Linked DNA regions of Sus scrofa. The protein of the gene in region 2 purifies or fractionates together with the protein of the main gene of each other region. This does not show direct contact. Links are inferred from orthologs where the notes say so. Each region holds a gene or a part of one and is shown on either strand. Other genes may lie near its edges.

Region 1 (5,683 bases), on a different chromosome or scaffold from region 2:
AATACTTACTAAATCTGTGCTAAATTTCTTGGTCTCCTTTTTAAGAACCTTAAAAAAAGGATTTAGTATGATGTTTTAAATATTCAAAATATTCAAAAATGCCATGAAGGAAAATGCTTCATAATACAAGAGGCTTCTAAGAATTTTTCTAAGGGAAAGTTTGGGGAAAAAAATTTGATATTTGTGTATATTCCTTGCTAGTGGCTGTTGACCATGGTGAGTAAATAATTTCACTGAAGAAATTTCTTTGAGTGGATACTCTGAATTTGAATGTGAAATGGGTAAGATGTACACATAGGTCAGTCCTGAGTATTATTGAAGTAATACATTACTAGTAATAGTAATAAAGGTATTAATACTTTTAAGGAAAACTTTAGCTTATTTTTAAGTAAAATTACATACTATGTTTTGGATAAAGGGAACACTTTGTTTAAAAACCAGAAATGAAGTATATTAGATGGTTCACCTGGTTTTTGCAATTTAACTGGTTTGACCATGTAACTTTTTTACTTAAACCTATATTTTATATGCTCTTTAGACATTTTTACAAGAAGGAATGCCTACTTCTGCTCGATGTGATGATTTGGAAGCCTTAAGAAAGAAGGGTTGTCATCCAGATGACATTGAAAATCCCAGAGGCTCCAAAAATATAAAGAAAAATAAAAATGTAACCAACCGTAGCAAAGGGACAGCAGAGAAGCTGCAGCCGGAAGATATCACTCAGATCCAACCACAGCAGTTGGTTTTGCAGTTACGATCAGGTACTTCAGTCTGATTCTATGAATATTTTGTTTCCCCTTGAGCTTTTTGACAACTTGATGTAAGTTTCTGTGAGGGTTCATTTTCACATGTGAACGGGCACTACAGTAGACGTGTTGACTACATTAACTGTTAGAAATTTTTTGCAGGTACAACAATTTGTAAGAAGAGTGTATGTGAAGTAAATGTTGCCTAATGTCCACAGTAAATTCTGTTGAAGATTCAGAAAGTATTAGATTTAATGAGTTTTAAAAAATAAACACGTCCATCTTCTGGTCTAATTCCGGAATATAAAGACAACATTTTAATGTATTTTTTCCTTTGTTTTTATTCAGTATTGTTAAAATATTAAGTGTTTTAGCAGCCCCACATCTGGAGAAAAGAAAGAGAGCACAAGCACCCTTTCTCCTCTTCCAGTTTCCAGCCGCTTCCTCTCAAGGAAACGTCCCCCCAGCTTCCCCTCCCACCCTGTCCAAAGCCTAGTTCTGCCCGACTTCTGCTTCCTGAACTCCTCTGGCAAAGCCCTGCCGCCACCTGGAGCCCTTGGGCCTGGTGGACCCTCATCAGGCCTTTTTTCTTTCTTTCTTGAAACTTTCAAGTGCTCTTCTTTTGGCTTCTGGGATAACACTGCTGCTTTTCGTCTCATCTCTTAGCAGTGATTTCCAGTGTTCTCCCTGTGTCTCCTTCCGTCCTTCCTTCCTCTTTATAGTCCACTTAATGATTGGTCTTCCTCTCATGATTTTAAAGCCATTTGTGTGGCTGTAACGTAGACTTTCTTCTTAAGTTCCAAACCCGGTTATCCAACTGCCTACTGGAAACCTATGTAGAGAAAATCGGTAAATAAAAATTTAATGACTTTTCACCCACATCTCTTGGATTTTACCTCACACCTCTGGTACATCTCTTCTCCTTCCTCTTTGTTTCAGTTCAGATCTTTATTGTCTCTCTGTTAACAGTTTCTTAAGTTTATGTGTCTAATTCATCTTTAAAACTTTTTGTGAGGTTTTCTAAAGTGCAAATCAGATTGTTATTCACTGCAAGCAGTGCGTCGCACTAGACAGCAGAGTCTTGACTTTATAACGCCAGGCTCTCAGAAGTCCAGCGAGCCCCATAGTGGACCTGCCTCACCACCCAGTCTAGTTTGTGTGGGCCCATCTGTCTGTTTGCCTCTGTTGTCCTTATAAACTCGCTCTCCGCCTGTCTTGCCTGCGGTGGACTGGGAATGCTGTCTTTTTCATCATCCCCAGGGCCTGGCGTTTTAAGTATTTATGGATGAAATGAGGACATACCCATTGAGTTACCTATGAAATGCCCAGGTTTTTTGTAAAAACTATGTCAATAAATTTCACTGTATAGTGTTTGCCTTATAAATCGACTGACTTGGTTTTTCTCATTCACTTTGGACTACTGGGAAGCTAATTGTCTAGTCCCTTTAACTAGGGGAGCCACAGACGTTTACGTTGAAATTCAAGCGAGCTGAGGACTATCCCATTGATCTCTACTACCTTATGGACCTCTCCTACTCCATGAAAGACGACTTGGAGAACGTGAAAAGCCTTGGAACAGATCTGATGAATGAAATGAGGAGGATTACTTCAGACTTCCGAATTGGTAGGAATTTTGACAAAATTAATACTTTTCATTTGTAAAAATCTGGGCAGTTTTGTTCTTCACCACATACACATGAGATAAATGGGCCAGGTTTTACCCTTGTGTTCATAAGAGGATGCACATTCCTGTGACACATCTAACAATTTTTCTGCCTCTTGTTCCTCTTACTGTAGGCTGCCATGTTATTTGACACACATTACACCACACATAGATGGTGAAATGCATGCTTGTTTTCATAGGTATTTATTCATTTGTTGATTTATTTTATAAACATGTTGATTGCTTGGATTCTATTTCATTGCTAGTTAATATGACCACACCTGCCCTGTATAACCTTAATCTCCCATCAGACCTGGATATTTTTATACAGTGATATCTTTTCCAACCCTTATTATTTCTTAAAAAAAAAGATTGACTTATAGGTGGTTACATACTTGATTTTATTTTAGTGCAACTTATCCATCTGTCCAACCATACACCCTCCATCTGTCATCACAGTCTGCATTTTCCTTCACAGGATTTGGCTCTTTTGTGGAAAAAACTGTGATGCCTTACATTAGCACAACACCAGCTAAGCTCAGGAACCCTTGCACAAGTGAACAGAACTGTACCAGCCCATTTAGCTACAAAAATGTGCTCAGCCTTACTGATAAAGGGGAAGTATTTAATGAACTTGTTGGTAAACAGCGCATATCTGGAAATTTGGATTCTCCAGAAGGTGGCTTTGATGCAATCATGCAAGTTGCCGTTTGTGGAGTAAGTGCATTCAATGTTATTTGTGTGAATTTTGTGTTATTTTGCTGTCAGAAGAAATTACCTTAATTACCATGTCATATTTGACTAATCCCTTAAATTCCCTTCAACTACAAGTGCTTCATAAAAGTATAATTGTAATGTCTCTAAACCAGGCAGTTCATTTACAGAGGGTTTTAAAGGCCAGAATGCGCACCATTTGAAATAGTGGGGCAGTTTAGCTTTAGCCTGGTGCTCTGTGTCTTTAGAAGAGACCAAGGTACCCTAGCTTTCTGGCTTTGTGCCTGAGATAGAATTGGGGTTATCAGAAGCATTAAAAATGCTTAAATAAACTTTGTCCTAGACACCATTTTCCTTTGGTAACTTTTCTTCTGCTTGTCATCTTTGAAAGGCATCTTCCCTTATCTTAGGAATTCAAAAAGAAAGAACTTTTAAAATCCTAGTTTGAAAGAATATATGAGAACGTGTATTTTGAGAAGTCATGTAATATTTGTAATTTTAATTGCAAGATTTTCAGTGGTTGTAAACTGATCTCCATTGGAGTAGTGATTAGAATTTTCTGTTTACCAGCTGAGATTTTGGGATGACCTTTTAATGATACAGGTGACGTTGAAACTAGGAAACATTGTGAGGTAGATAAAGTTCGTCTTAAGTACCTAAGACGTCTCGTTCCCTCCCCCCATTTTCCCTTATAGTACCCTGTGCCCTAGAACACCTTCCTGGACTCCAGTGCTTCTTTGCTTCTCAGCCAGTTTTTAATATGCTGCTTGATACCCGAGATGATAATATGGTATAGCAATATGATGTAGTGTTTTTATACTTCTAAGACTGTTAGGACACATCTTCAGATTTTCCATCACTGCTCGTCCACTAGGCAGTTTCCTTGCCCTTCCAGAGGCTATTTCCGTCTTCTCTTAAGGAGGGGTAATAACAGATAGACCTCACAGGGCTGTTCTGAAGTTTAAATATGACAGTCCGTACAAGGTGCCAGTAAGCAACCTAGTAAATATTAACTGCTGTGTCATCATTACTTTGACTTCTCACTGGGGTAGTTACACTTTAAGGCTAGTCTCTACTTTTAAAGGGGAAGAGAGAGATTCCAAGTCATGCCAGGCTTGATGGTCTGCTTTCTTTCCAGCCATTGCTTGTGATCCTGTTAGCAGCTCACTGTGCAGAGCGCTTTCCCTGGGCTGCCTCTACCTGTGCCTCAGCCTTGGGATGAAAACAAGCCATATCATCTGTGGCTGCTGCTCAGTGTTGCTCGTGCTGACAGAGCTGTTCCATTTACTTCTCTAAATGCAAAAGAGACAGACATTTCACTTGGACTGCCAGCATAATAAACTGAATTCCTGCCTTCAAGGAGTTTAGTCTTAGAAGGATATATACAGATGTATTGAGTAAACTTAGACACGTATGATTATAAAATTATCATAGAAGATTTTACTACTACTTTACATTCTTTACTGAATAAGGTGGAGAATAAAAAATGAACAAACAGTACTGAGGGCTTAGAACGGATAGAATTAAGTAGGGCAAGTCTTGGGAGAAGGTACTTTTTAAAAAGGAAGATGACTTTTAATATGGAGGAGGCTGATTAAGGAATTATGCACTACAGAAGATAGACCAAGGATGGATGGGAATGAGACAAAGTTGGGCAAAGTTAGGTGTGGGCCAAGACTTTTTCATTTACTCATTAAGCACCTATTGTGTGCCAAGCACTGTGACAACTGCTGGATATATGATGCACGAACCCAGATGTGGTTCCTGCCTTACACGAAGTGAATGCACCTTGTAGTGGGAGAGAGATTGACTTTAACAGAGTTTTTAAAAAAGAGCTCAGAGAAATGGACAGCTAGGCAAGTGGAGCTTTACAGTGTGCTCTCTGCCTTCATCAGCAAGGGCGTTAGCATTGTGAAAAGAGAATACAGAATTAGGTTGAAACTACAGTGGTAGCCTATACAAAGGTTAAAAGATTTATGTTGAATTATTGTGGGTAGTATTTTAAAATTGAAATCTTTTTTTTTTTTTTTGAGTCGTTGATTGGCTGGAGGAATGTGACACGGCTGCTGGTGTTTTCCACGGATGCTGGGTTTCACTTTGCTGGAGATGGGAAACTTGGTGGCATTGTTTTACCGAATGATGGACAGTGTCACCTGGAAAATGATGTATACACAATGAGCCATTACTACGTAAGTGCTTAGTTCCTCACATATCGAATGGATTCAAGTTGAATTTAGGATCAATACTAAAAAAGTACTGTGGGTGACTGTCTTAGGGGTTTTCAGGGTTTGGGGTTTGTTATTTTGCTGAGTTGGGCCCTGATCTAATGTGCAGGAAAGCTTGTGTTGCTGTTTTAAGACTGTGGCTTTGTGTTCACTTCCTGGCGGGTGAAGGGAGCTGCTGACTCCTTCAGCCCAGGGCTCTGTCCTCTCACTCGTATAGTCACTGGATAGCAAGTTTTATATTCTGTCTGAATAAGTGACTTGTGTAGTCTTATACTCTAGTCTTATTTATGTATGATTTAAGAAAGTAGGAGTTCCCATCGTAGCTCAGCGGTAAT
Region 2 (5,683 bases):
AGCAGGGCCAGGGATCAAACCTGAATCTTCAGGGATCCTATGTTGGTTTCTTAACCTGCTGAGCCACAACAGAAACTCCCTCTTGTCCACCCCTAACAGCCAGCCCTGGGCACTTTCCCTTCTAGGTTGAAATATTCTCTTCTAAAGATTTAGTTGGGACTCGTTGTCTTAGCAGTAGGAATTGGAAGACCATGGCCAATAACCCAAGAGCTGGGTTCTGACAGAGGGGTCTTTTGAACATTTAAAATGGGCACCTCATCTAAATAGTTACAGTTGCTTGTGTGTAAATAATCAGAGTACCGATGAGCCTAACTAAGAATTGCTGCTTCAGATTTTTACTGAGCCCAAGTTTTTAGGTCTTGTAGCAGTGGACAGGCTAAGAGCAGACAGAAGAGAAGTTAAGTCTTGACAATTCAAATGAGAACTATTCTGCACAATAGAGAGTGAACTGTTTTCTTCATCAATCGTGAACACATTTGTGGTCATTTCTTATTCTGCCCTAATGAACTGACTCTGTGCTTGTGTGTTCAGAAGCCCTCTGATGTTGTCAACTCTCTGGATCTGTGTGTGAACATCAGTCTGGAAAACCCTGGCACCAGCCCTGCCCTCGAAGCCTACTCGGAGTCAGCCAAGGTCTTCAGTGTAAGTGCGGTTTGCCCTTCCTGGAATTCTTACTGGCTGACAAAGTTTTGCAGTCACTGCAGTAGTGTTTGAAAGATACTTAGAACATAGCCTTTAAGTTGTTAATTTTCTAAATGAAATACAGTTACCTATATGTGAAGTTCACCAGCATGTAAGTTCCATAAAGCAGGGATTTTTGTTTTTCTTGTTCCCTGCCCTATTCCCGGGACCTCAAGCAGTTCTTGGCTCCCCATAGGTGTTCAATAAATATTTGTTGAAGAAATATATAATAATAAAGTGAATACCTTGTGCTCGCCACACACTTAAAAAAATTAAAATGATACTGATACCTATAAAATTCTTTTTTTGTAGATCCCTTTCTATAAAGACTGTGGTGATGATGGAATTTGCATCTCTGATCTAGTTCTAGATGTTCAGCAGCTACCGGCCACTCAGTAAGTTTTACTTTAAAGCTCAGTGAAACTGTAGAAATAAAAGACACATTAGATTATTTATTCACATGAATGTTTATGGAGTTTTTTTATATCAAAAAAAACCCCATCTGTCACTACTAAAGCCCTTTAAAATCTAAATTTCAAAATATCTAGGAATAAACTTAATCAATAGGGTGAGAGATCTATACTCTGAAAACTATAAAACATTGATGAATTTGAAAATGACCCAAAGAAATAGAAAGATATCCCTTGCTCTTAGATTGGGAGAATTAACATTATTAACATGTCCAGGAGTCCCTGTTGTGGCTCAGTGGAATCAAACCTGACCAGCATCCATGAGGATGCGGGTTCAATCCCTGGCCTCACTCACTGGGTTAAGGATCCAGTGTTGCTGTGAACTGTGGTGTAGGTTGCAGACATGGCTCAGATCCTGTTCTGCTGTGGCTGTGGTGTAGGCTAGCAGCTGCAGCTCTGATTTGACTTCTAGCCTGGGAACTTCCATATACCATGGGTACAGCCCTAAAAAAAAATAAAAAATAAAAATAAAAATGTATATGAAACCATAGAAGACCCCAAATTGTCAAAGCCATCTTGAGCAAAAAGAACAAAGTTAGAGGAATCATGCTTCCTGACTTCAGGCTATGCTGCAAAGCTACAGTCATTAAAAGAGCGTGGTACTGGCACAAAACCAGAAATGCAGATCAACAGAACAGAAGAGAGAGCCCAGAAATAATTCCACATGCTAATGGTCACTTAAGCTACAAAAAGGGATGCAAGAAAATACGACAGTCCCAAGAAATAGCAACAACAACAAAAAAGACAAAAGACAAAAAAAAAAAAACTTGTCAAACACCATTCAAAGTAAGAAAACTCCATAATAATCACACTTACAGAGAATACAATAACCCTAAATATTTCTGACTTCAAAATAAATTTCACTTCCTCTGAAATTAAAAAAAAAAAAGAAAATACGACAGATAAAAAGACAGTCTCTTCAATAAGCAATGCTGGGAAGGCTGGACAGCTACATGTAGAAGAATAAAATTAGAACATTATCTCATACTATATACAAAAATAAACACCAAATGGATTAAAGACCTAAATTTAAGACCTGAAACCATAAAACTCCTAGAAGAGAACATAGGCAGAACACTCTTTGACATATATCATATCAATATTTTTTTTGGATCTGTCTCCTAAAGCAGAAGAAATAAAAGCAAAAATAAACAAATGGAATCTAATTAAATTAAAGAGCTTTGCACAGCAAAGGAAACCATTGGCAAAACAAAAAGGCAACCCACTAAATGGGAGAAAATATTTGTAAATGATATGATCAATAATGGGTTAATACCCAAAATACATATATACAACTCAATATCAGGAAAAAAAATCTGACCAAAAAATGGGCAGAAGACCTGAATAGACATTTTTCCAAAGAAGTCATACAGATAGCCAACAGGCACATATAAAGATGCTCACCATCACACATCATCAGAGGTATACAAATCAAAACCACAGTGAGGTATTACCACATACCTGGCAGAATGGCTACCACCAAAAAGAACACATATAACAAATGTTAGCAAGGACGTGGAGAAAAGGGAAAACTTATGCGGAAAACTGTTGGTGGAAATGTAAATTGGTGCAGCCATTATGGAAAAAATTATGGAGGTTCCTCAAAACACTAAAAATAGAACTATCATAAGATCCAGCAATTCAACTCCTGGATATACATCCAAAGAAAACAAAAACATTAATTCAAAAAGACACATGCACCCCAATGTGCATAGCAGCATTATTTACAATAGCCAAGATAGGGAAGCAACTTAAGGGTCCATCAACAGATGAATGGATAAATAAGATGTCATATATCTATATGGAATATTAGTCATAAAAGGAATAAAATTCTGGTATTTACAATAACGTTGATGGACCTAGAGAGTATTATGCTTCATGAAATAAGTCAGACAATACTCTTATCACTTACATATAGATTCTAAAAAAATAAATGTATATAACAAAACAGAAACAGACTCACAGATAAAAAGAACAAACTAGTGGTTACCAGTGGGGAGAGGGAGAGAGGAAGGGGCAAGATAGAGGTAGGGGATTAAGAGATACAAACTATTATGTATAAAATAGAAAAGCAACAAGGATATATTGTTTAGAGCACAGTAAAGTGTAGCCAGTATTTTATAATAACTTTAAATAGAGGGTAATCTATAATGACTTTTTTTTCTTTTTTCTCCTCTTCACTTTTAACAGACAACAGCCATTCATTGTCAGCAACCAGAACAAAAGATTAACATTTTCAGTAACACTGAAAAACAAAAAGGAAAGTGCATACAACACTGGAATTGTTATTGCTTTTTCAGAAAACCTGTTTTTTGCTTCCTGGTCCATGCCGGTATGTGAGAGCACCTGCCTTAACTGTTCTTCTGCTTCCTACTTGTCAATTACCATCTTCCTTATGATCAAATCTCCGCATCCTCTGTGTTGTCTAAAGGAACATCTTCACCTTCAGTGTGATCAGTTCTAACCTGTGGCTCTCAGCTAGTTAAACCACTTGAGAACAAAGCCTGGCTGGGTATCTAGACCAGTTCTGCCGCACAGAGTGGGTCAGTTTTTCCTTCACCCTGATACTTGGCAGTAGTAGCCAGACTCTGCTGTAAACTCTCCTCAAGCCATCTGTGTGATGAGGCTGCCGAGAGGCCACACAGATGCTGTGAGCTGCACTTGCTCTGAGAAGTTAGAGTCCCACAGCTCAGCCCGAGCTTCGTAACCACAGGTTTTGCTGCTGCCAAGACGATGCATTCCAGCGAGGTCAGTTAATCATGTTGACTTGATCGCTATACCAGGAACACATTTGACCGTGGATGCCCCGCTGGGCCTCCTCTGCCACCAAGCAATGAAAAGGAGAGTAGGGGAAAACTGAGATTTTCCAGATTCACTCCTTGATGAAAGGACTCAAAAACGGTTTCATCCAATTTAAAGTCCGTGTGAACTTAATAGATTAAGTGTCTAAACCCATTCTGACGTCAGTGCTTAAATTTCTTGTGTCAAATGACAACTTAAAGAGAAAAAAATAAGCAAAACTAAAAAAGGTTCCTTAAGTTATTTAAAATATAGATTAAAAACAGTATAAGGTTTTTCTCTAGAAACTACAAATATTAAATGTATTGATAGAAAGGTATGTATTAAAGACAGCATTTCTAAATAATGGATTAAAGTTGTGCTGCAGAAATAGAATAGGATTTACTTCTGGGGAAAAGTTCAGTATTTAACCTCTCCTTTGTCTTGTTGGGCATCCTGGTTAGCAATAAAAATAGTACATTAGCTGCCTGAACAATACGTATAAGACTTTCAAATCTTGGGAGATAATAAATTACTTGAGTGTGAACCAACCTTACTGCTAAAATGTCTAGGTGGTTCATGCATCCTTCAGCACATATGTGTATCTGTGCACGTACACACACGCACACGCATGCGCGCGCGCCACACACACACACACACACACACACACTGAATACTAATTGATCATTGTTTCCTTGGTCTCATTCAGGTTGATGGGACAGAAGTGACATGCCAGATCCCTTCATCTCAGAAGTCTGTTACCTGTGATGTAGGCTATCCTGCTTTAAAGAGGGAAGAACAGGTACAACTTGTAATTCATCCTCAAATTCATCTGGCCTCTCCTCACCATTGGTGTTAATTCACCAACATACCATCTTCTTTATTAGGTACCATCATTTGATAGGCATCACACAATAACTGGCCGCATATTTAGAGGAAGTGTTTTAATAATACCTGCATGCTTTCTTTTTTTTTTTCTTTTCTTTTTTTTTTTTAGGGCTGTATCCACAGCATATGAAGGTTCCTAGGCTATGGGTCAAATCAGAGCTACAGCTGCTGGCCTACACTAGAGCCATAGCAATACAGGATCCAAGCCATGTCTTCGATCTACACCACAGCTCATGGCAACACCAGATCCTTAACCCACTGAGAGAGGCCAGGGATCGATCTTGCAACCTTATGGTTCCTCGTCGGATTCATTTCTGCTGCGCCACAATGGAAACTCCCCTGCATACTTTCTTTAAATTATTAATAACAGCGGGTTTCTGCCTCCCCCCACCCAAAGCAATTCATTCCCCAAAGCACGTACAATATGAAAGTTCTTTTTTTTTCTGAAAACATTTATCCAACACTGGTCAATGTGCTTTATACAGAGTCACAGATAGCATTTGTTCATCCTTGGTAAGTAAATTTCACATCCACACAAAGCCTTCAAGTTTGAACAAGTAGAAGTGCCTGTGATGTGCTGTATGTACATGTCAGGTGAATTCAGTTCTATTCTGAAGGGAAGGCAAGGTGGACAAATCCACAGAAGTTCTACAAACTTGAAAGCTTAAGAATCAAATGGGAGTTGGTTTGCTTCTATAGGACACTTTTTTTTCATGTTGACCCTTGAGTACAAAGCACCGTAGATTGATGAATTCTAATTTTGTGTATAGGTGACTTTCACAATTAACTTCGACTTCAATCTTCAAAACCTTCAGAATCGCGCATCTGTCAGTTTCCAAGCCTTAAGGTAAAACAGGAGGAAGTCA

Evidence for each region.
Region 1: the proteins of ITGA2 (region 2) and ITGB1 purify together in Homo sapiens (co-immunoprecipitation; 3 studies listed by BioGRID and IntAct, with this or other methods). This does not show direct contact. The link is inferred for Sus scrofa from reciprocal best matches to the Homo sapiens genes ITGA2 and ITGB1.

What each region holds. Positions count from the first base shown.
Region 1 is NC_010452.4:56,094,957-56,100,639, reverse strand, and holds part of ITGB1 (integrin beta-1), read left to right. Parts: intron 1-538; coding exon 539-761; intron 762-2,199; coding exon 2,200-2,370; intron 2,371-2,887; coding exon 2,888-3,126; intron 3,127-5,156; coding exon 5,157-5,312; intron 5,313-5,683.
Region 2 is NC_010458.4:32,411,864-32,417,546, forward strand, and holds part of ITGA2 (integrin alpha-2), read left to right. Parts: intron 1-531; coding exon 532-642; intron 643-993; coding exon 994-1,076; intron 1,077-3,341; coding exon 3,342-3,483; intron 3,484-4,638; coding exon 4,639-4,731; intron 4,732-5,587; coding exon 5,588-5,664; intron 5,665-5,683. UniProt on the Homo sapiens protein: Integrin alpha-2/beta-1 is a receptor for laminin, collagen, collagen C-propeptides, fibronectin and E-cadherin. It recognizes the proline-hydroxylated sequence G-F-P-G-E-R in collagen.